2 linked regions of the Daphnia pulex genome follow. The protein of the gene in region 1 purifies or fractionates together with the protein of each later gene. This does not show direct contact. Links are inferred from orthologs where the notes say so. Each region holds a gene or a part of one and is shown on either strand. Other genes may lie near its edges.

The links. The genes of interacting proteins can lie anywhere in the genome.
Region 2: the proteins of serine/threonine/tyrosine-interacting protein B-like (region 1) and F-box/WD repeat-containing protein 7-like purify together in Homo sapiens (affinity purification with western blotting; 4 studies listed by BioGRID and IntAct, with this or other methods). This does not show direct contact. The link is inferred for Daphnia pulex from reciprocal best matches to the Homo sapiens genes STYX and FBXW7.

The regions. Positions count from the first base shown.
Region 1 is NC_060024.1:13,317,744-13,320,867, forward strand, and holds serine/threonine/tyrosine-interacting protein B-like, read left to right. Parts: upstream 1-1,396; 5' UTR 1,397-1,519; coding exon 1,520-1,678; intron 1,679-1,765; coding exon 1,766-1,863; intron 1,864-1,930; coding exon 1,931-2,119; intron 2,120-2,206; coding exon 2,207-2,259; intron 2,260-2,334; coding exon 2,335-2,477; 3' UTR 2,478-2,575; downstream 2,576-3,124. Other genes in the region: E3 ubiquitin-protein ligase siah-1-like, read right to left, coding at 55-169; mitochondrial import inner membrane translocase subunit TIM50-C-like, read right to left, coding at 3,121-3,124. UniProt on the Homo sapiens protein: Catalytically inactive phosphatase. Acts as a nuclear anchor for MAPK1/MAPK3 (ERK1/ERK2). Modulates cell-fate decisions and cell migration by spatiotemporal regulation of MAPK1/MAPK3 (ERK1/ERK2).
Region 2 is NC_060019.1:12,536,020-12,540,161, forward strand, and holds the start of F-box/WD repeat-containing protein 7-like, read left to right. Parts: upstream 1-1,276; 5' UTR 1,277-1,654; intron 1,655-1,739; 5' UTR 1,740-1,868; coding exon 1,869-2,036; intron 2,037-2,103; coding exon 2,104-2,252; intron 2,253-2,411; coding exon 2,412-2,769; intron 2,770-2,833; coding exon 2,834-3,019; intron 3,020-3,084; coding exon 3,085-3,483; intron 3,484-3,550; coding exon 3,551-3,730; intron 3,731-3,828; coding exon 3,829-4,010; intron 4,011-4,087; coding exon 4,088-4,142. UniProt on the Homo sapiens protein: Substrate recognition component of a SCF (SKP1-CUL1-F-box protein) E3 ubiquitin-protein ligase complex which mediates the ubiquitination and subsequent proteasomal degradation of target proteins.

The DNA.
Region 1 (3,124 bases):
AGGATAAACTATATTTAAAAATCACCAAAGAGTTTTTTACAAAATAATTCTTACAAGAATTTATGTTTCCGTCAGAGTCTGATGAGCTGCTATCACTATCGGAATCGTGGGCAGGTGGACAGATTCGTTTCCAACGACCAGGACTCATGTTATCGGAATATCTTTTCATCTTTAAGTGGTAAGTAAAATTAAAAGTGGCCTTGAAATTTACATAAAATGCTGTAGAACAGCCTAGACAAATAAGAAAAAGGGTGTGGATGTGGAACCTAGGAGAGAGGGTCACCAACTCACAAAAGAAAAACAAAAAGTTTTTACGTAGTCTGCTTGGGCAAATCGATTCATTTCTTAAATATCGATTAACTGAAAAACGCCCTTTCTGCCTTTCTCTCTGTAATTTTTACTCTTTTATTTGACGCAAAAAGTAAAAAATTGTAGAATAAGAAAATACAAAACAAATGACTAAAGCAGTGAAAAGAATTGTATTAGAAAAAATTTTGATCAAAAAGCGGTGTAAGATAACTTTAAAAAATTTAAAGTAGCGAACTTTTTATTTGAATAATTGAATATATATGATCTTCGATTGAAAATCCCCATCGCAGTTGACCTCATTTCTTGCCAAAAAAATTAAAAAACGTAGTGTAACTTGGCCCTTCTTTGCCGTCAATGTGCGAGGTGACATCATACTTCATGCGAGGATCGGCTCCCGAATTGCTGCTGGGGTGTATGGTGACCTTTGTGTGAGCTTCTACTTGTTTTCCTGGGTGATACTTTTCGGTAGTTCTAATGAATTTCCTGGTTTCAAATTCATTTTCTTTGTAAGCACCTCTGTTGAAATTTGGGGATGATAGGAAAAGATTATCTTTGTCTTTTCCCGATCCTCCAAGCATGTTAGCAAAGACATGACTAACATCACTGCCTCTGCCTGCTCCCATCTGTCTTTTCTCTTCACTGGATATGGAAACTTTTGATCCGTGACCGAAATTTTCCGATCGAATAACAGTAGATCTTGTGCGAACTCCGTCTTTGTCCTCAGCCGTAATTTTTAAAGACTTTCCATTCGACATTCTTGTTATTGTTACGAACTGGGCAACTGGCAATCTAACAAGCAAAATAACTTTACTTTTTCGTTATAAAGAAATTGGTTTGCCTCGGAACAATCGAAAAAAATACTTACAATTTAGAGAACTGAGTAATCGTGTCGAAACGGCTCAAGCAAAGAAACGGGTCTGAGACGAGTGACAAAATCTTCCCGTCTTTAAAGGGAAGCTGTCTGACACATGCCAGACGTCTATTTATAAACAAGAAACAACGTATTGAACTTGAACCGCCAATAAAAGGTTGAACTCGACTCTCGAACCGCCAAAAAGAAAATTTCTAGTCTGCTTGGAAAAATCGATTCTCTTAAACATCGATTATCAGACAGCAGAGTGAAAAAAAAACAAAAAGTTTTCGTTTCAAAACGCAGGCTTAGTGTTTACAGTTTTTCTTTTTATTCTTAATAGTCTTAATAGTCGCCTCAATGGAAGTTCAGACAAATAGTCACGACATACTTTCGGCCTCGTCGATAACGGCTGATTTCCAAGAACCTAACGATTGGACATATTCGATGAGAAGGGAAATGCAAGAAATTGTCAAAGGATTGTTCCTTGGGCCCTACTCGGTTGCAGTTCGATCCAAAGTATATGGTTTGCATAGATCTTTTATTCTTGCATTAGCCAATGTAATAAGTATAACAACATTACCTTCTTATTTTTTTAAACCCCAGGAGAACTATCTTGAGACTCACGGAATCACTCATATCGTTTGTGTTAGACAAGACATTGAATCTCACATGATCAAAACACATTTTGTTGATAAATTCCAGTAAATTAAATTATTCCAAACAAGGAACAAATTGTATGGACTTATTTGTATTGCACTTTTTCCTCAGATACCTGGTTGTCAACGTGAAAGATTCAGTCACAGAAAATATCATTCAGCACTTCCAAAAAGTTAAAACTTTCTTGGATAGCTGTTTTTCTGCAGGAGGCAAAGCTCTTATTCACGGTAATGCTGGCATATCTCGAAGTGCTGCCATTGTTCTGGGCTTTCTTATGCAAAAATACTGCCTTGACTACAGGTATATTTCTCAACATTCATTCATATATAAGCAGTAAAGCATGACATTCTTTTCAAGCTCTGATCTAATTTTTTTATTTATTTACAGAGAGGCTTTCAGTTTAGTGCAACAGAGAAGGTTTTGCATTAATCCCAATGAAGGTAGGTATTTTTTTAAATTGTTGCATCTCAGTTCATTAGAATAATAGTCTCACATAGCTCAAACTCTCTTAATAGGATTTGTTCAACAGTTAAAGGAATATGAACCTATCTACAAAGCAAACTGGAGTGTAACAAACAATGGTCAGTGCTCAAGGGAGCAAAGCACTTGGAAACGGAAGCGAGACAGTATCGAAAATGACGATGCTATGGACGAGTGACGCGTTATCCGACATGAGAATCAATAAAAACGTTTTGCGTATGCTGCACAATTTTTTCTTGACTGTTCCTTGAAGGAATAAAACAAGTGATTTTCAAATGGTTTGCAATCTTTTTAAGTCGATTACCGGTCCAAAGCTTTAATCCATTTATTTGACGACTAATAATTCAATGCAGTCTAGGAATATCAATCCAGCACCTAATATTTTACCTAAATACTCCCATACGATACGGTATTTAAGTTTCTATCTTCAATTGTATTGCAACAACTAATCTAAGTGTAAATTACCGTCGAAGCATTTTATTTAGTCCAACGAAGGTAAAGTATTTGTTTAAACTATTGCGATTGAGTTCACTGGAATATTTACAGATTCTATTCAACACTTGAAGGAATGTGAACCCATCTACCGCGCAAACTGAAGTGTAACAATTGCTCAAAAGAGTAAAGAACTTGAAAACGACCGAGACAGTAGGTATCGACGACGCTTTATATGGACGGTTGACATCCTGTATAAAATATGGGACAAAATGTTTTCCCGTTCTTGGCTGTGCCTCGACCCAATGATAAGAGTATTTTTTTTTCTTTCAGAAACTTTCGATCGGTGATTTATTCGAATTAATATACTAGAAACGAGACTTGCTGAATCAA
Region 2 (4,142 bases), on another chromosome or scaffold:
CGCATGTTGGTCTCGTTCGTCATTCACAATCGAACACTATCAAATGACGCAACGTATGTTCGTTAGCTGCAACGACGACTCCATTGTTTAAATAGGCGCGCCTAACCTCACACCTCTTCAATCCGGTGCTTCTGCACTTAAATGAACCGGTCAAAGACCAATTGCTGGTTTATTAAAAAATATATAGATTTCTCAATGCCCACACAAAATGTGCATCAAAGTTTCTTGGCAATTCAATGAGCGACCTATTTTCATGACTGGGGAAGCGACGATAATGCCCGATGAAAGAGCGAATTCAACATTCAACACAAGATCACCGAATGTTTTGTGCTGCGCTTACTAATGATCTTTTTGAAAAGTTAATGCTAATACGGTAGCAGCTATCACTCCGAATCCGAGAAATTTTGAATGTCATGGGGCAATAAACGGAATTGAATATTGTAACAATCAGAGAAAAACGAAAATTTGTTACAATTATATTATTAATGAGGACGAACCTTCAACTTTTAAAAAACCTGCGAGATATCGCGTAAGTAGCAGTTTGAATTTCTTATATCGAACGTTTATAATTCATCGCGAGTCATCTAGCGATAGCTAGAAAAAGCAAGATTCGGGCGCCCTTTAACACTGCGTAGCTGCTATAATGTGTACAAAAATATAGATACACAATTTAGTTGGATGAATACTTAACTGGCTATTGGTTGAATCGGGTTCAACTTTCGTCCAACCGTATGAGAGAACTAGAACTCAACATTACGCAGTAACGTTTTCAACAGAGTTGAAATGCTTGAGAAACAATTTGCACCAAAACTTCCATTGTTATTGAAATTGTGGCTTTAATTCAGTTGGATCTGTAAAGGGCTGATGGTATGAAGAGATTCAAGGGGGACATTTCAGGAGGGGGAACGATGAATAGCGATGATGATCCGTTGAAGTTTCAAGAACTGAACAGTTAGAAACTTAAAAAAAAATATGATATAATACTCTTTGATAGTAATGCAATACAAAAATATTATTAAGGGTGGGGGATGTATGTACAAAGAAAGGCGGGAAAGATGAAATGAGGTAGGCCCACGTATTGGCCTTTAAAAAACCGCCTAGCTTTGTTGTTTAAAAAAGGATAATAATTACCACTATAAATTCGATAGTAACACTGTAAACGTGTCAAGTGGGTTTTGCTACGAGATTCTAAGCGAAATAAAGAAAAAAGCGCATGTGATGACGACCACAGGGCGCGTCCAGCAACTGGGAAATGTTAACAAGCAATTTGGCAACGCTTTTTAGTCCAGCATATATCGTTGTCTGTCTCGGCTTCACCATTCGTGTGAAACAAAATTCTCTTTGATGCTGATCCTCGTGTACAAATTTTTTTCTATATTTACGCTCTTTGTGAAATCGAAATGCCCGAATCATTTTAGTGCTAGATTTTTTCTATTTTAAATCCTTTATTTGATTAAGTTGTTTTTGCCCACCCGTGCTTGCGGAATATTTTCAAAATCGCATTTTAAAGGTCTGCCCTTGTTCCCAAAACACTACACACTATCAAGCCCTCGCCCATATCATTAAAAAGATTCTACTTTTATTTTGATTGCACTTTTTGACTCGTAACGCCATTATAATTTTCGCTGCACTTTTCACTGGATTTTTATCGACGGTAAGTGTGAATCATTCTTGCTTTGTTTCATTATTGTTATAAAAAGAAACCTTTATTAACAACATTGAATCTTCTTTCTTGGCAGATGAGATGACTAGTGTTTAATTGAGGATATGAGTTGTTGTCTAGGCAGCTGTGTTTTGGTTTCCTAGTAATAGCTCAGCTTCTCAATCTCTAGCTTACGTAGCAGTCAGAAACCCAGCAGAAATAATTTATGCCAGCGTCCAGAGGACGGAGTAGTGGGAGGGGCATGGGCGACACTGCTAATGAAAGTCTAGCTCAGAGAAACCTGGTAGACATCAATGTGGCTACTGTTGAAGAGCTTTCCACCTTGGTTGGAGTTGGACGCAGCAGAGCTGAAGCCATTGTGGAAACCAGAAATGTAAGTTTAGGATTAACCCAACACCAGTGTGTTTTATATGGTTTTGACATGTGTTTTTCCTTTGTAGTCCCTTGGAGGATTTACATCCATCGAAGATCTAAGTCTGGCTCCAGGTGTGGGGACAAATTTGATTGAAGCCAATCGTCAGATACTAACAATATCAGTACCAGCTCAGTCGTCTCAGGTGAATGCAAGAAAAGCCAACACTCGGAGCAGGTAAATAGTGTTATACAATACTAAATTTATACCCCCTTCTCATGGTTTTGCTATTAGTGTAGGTATATTTCTTTATTGTTACTCTTATCTAAGCCTTTGTTCTTTGGATTAGGCAAAAATGCGTCATTTGATTCTAAACATGTTTTGTTGTTGCCCTAGAAGCAGTGATAATACAAGCGCTCAACCGACTCCGAGCACCACACCAGTGATATCTAGTTCAAGTGATAACGCGACAGAAGACCAGCAAAACGACAGTGGAAGTAGCAGCAGCAACGAATGGGGTGCTTGCCGTTTGAGGCAGCGCCGGTCAACAAGCAGAATAAATCCACTGCCCGTTGGCAAATCGCCTTCGCTTCGACAGACTCGGAGCAACGATAGCATCATTCAATCGCCTCCTCCTCTCCCCACAACACCTACATCATCGACACCTACTGCTCCTGCCAACGACGCCAGCAATGTATCCGTTAAAGAGGAATCACCCACCTCGGAGAATGATGACGTCGCCAGACCAGGAGCTGTAAGTTTATCCAACACTTATTTGTTATTAAGAACATGAATTTAATTAAGGTGGTGTGTTGTAGACCAAGCGCAAGTCGGAGTCGACAGCTGAGATGGCAGCTGAAGTAGCCACGGAGAAAAAAACATGTCGAAGGGGTGAAGGTGTTGATTCATCTTCCTCGTCAATCTACTGCCATGTTCACCGTAATCCGATTCCCTCGAAAGACAATCCTCCGCCAGGATTTTGCCAGTGGCTTCACACGTTCCAAGTATTTTTCGTCATTCTCTCAACCACTAACTCATTGCTAAGAAAAACCATTTGTTATCATTGCAGTACTGGTCGAACGCTGAGCGTTTATGTGCCATTGACCAACTGATAGAGCTGTGTGAACCCACTCAGGTCCGTCACATGATGGCTGTTATTGAACCACAGTTCCAACGCGATTTCATATCGCTGCTGCCCAAAGAACTGGCTCTGTATGTTCTCAGTTTCCTCACGCCTCGCGACTTGACTCGCGCCGCACAAACCTGCCGTTGTTGGAGAGTCTTGGCTGAAGATAATCTCCTCTGGCGAGAAAAATGTCGTGAAGCGGGTATCGATGACGTTCGTGATACTCTAAATAAGCGACGTCTTCGCGGATCTTCCCACCACTCATCTCTCAGTTGTGGTCTTTCTTCCCCCACCGGATCTAGCCAAAACAATGCACCAATTATTACTCCGTCACCCTGGAAGGTGAATAGATCAATCTGGCTTAAACGTTAATAGGTTGCAAGATAATATTGATTCGTTGCATTTTCAGGCGACTTATATGCGTCACCGAAATATTGAGTTGAATTGGCGAGTGAGGCCGATCCCACAGCCAAGGGTATTGAAAGGTCATGACGATCACGTCATCACCTGCTTACAGTTTTGCGGAAACCGCATCGTTTCGGGATCGGATGACAACACGCTCAAAGTCTGGTCGGCTACTACGGGAAAGGTAATTCATTGGGCTTTCTGCCTAGACAGGACAAAGACTTTAAAAACGCGAAATGTCTTAAGAACAGACAACCATTTAATTGTCATTTCACTCAACAGTGCATGAGGACTCTGCAGGGACATACGGGAGGCGTTTGGTCCTCTCAAATGCAGGGAAATATTATAGTCAGCGGGAGTACAGACAGAACCTTAAAAGTCTGGAACGCTGAGTCTGGACAGTGTTTGCACACATTATACGGCCACACCTCCACTGTCCGTTGCATGCATTTACACGGAAATAAGTCAGTCTTTTTATCAGATATTTGTAGCAAGCACTCTTACTAATTCAACTGTTTTCCTTGATCAAAAATGAATGTAGGGTGGTGAGCGGGTCACGGGATGCAACGTTACGTGTATGGGATGTTGAGACGGGC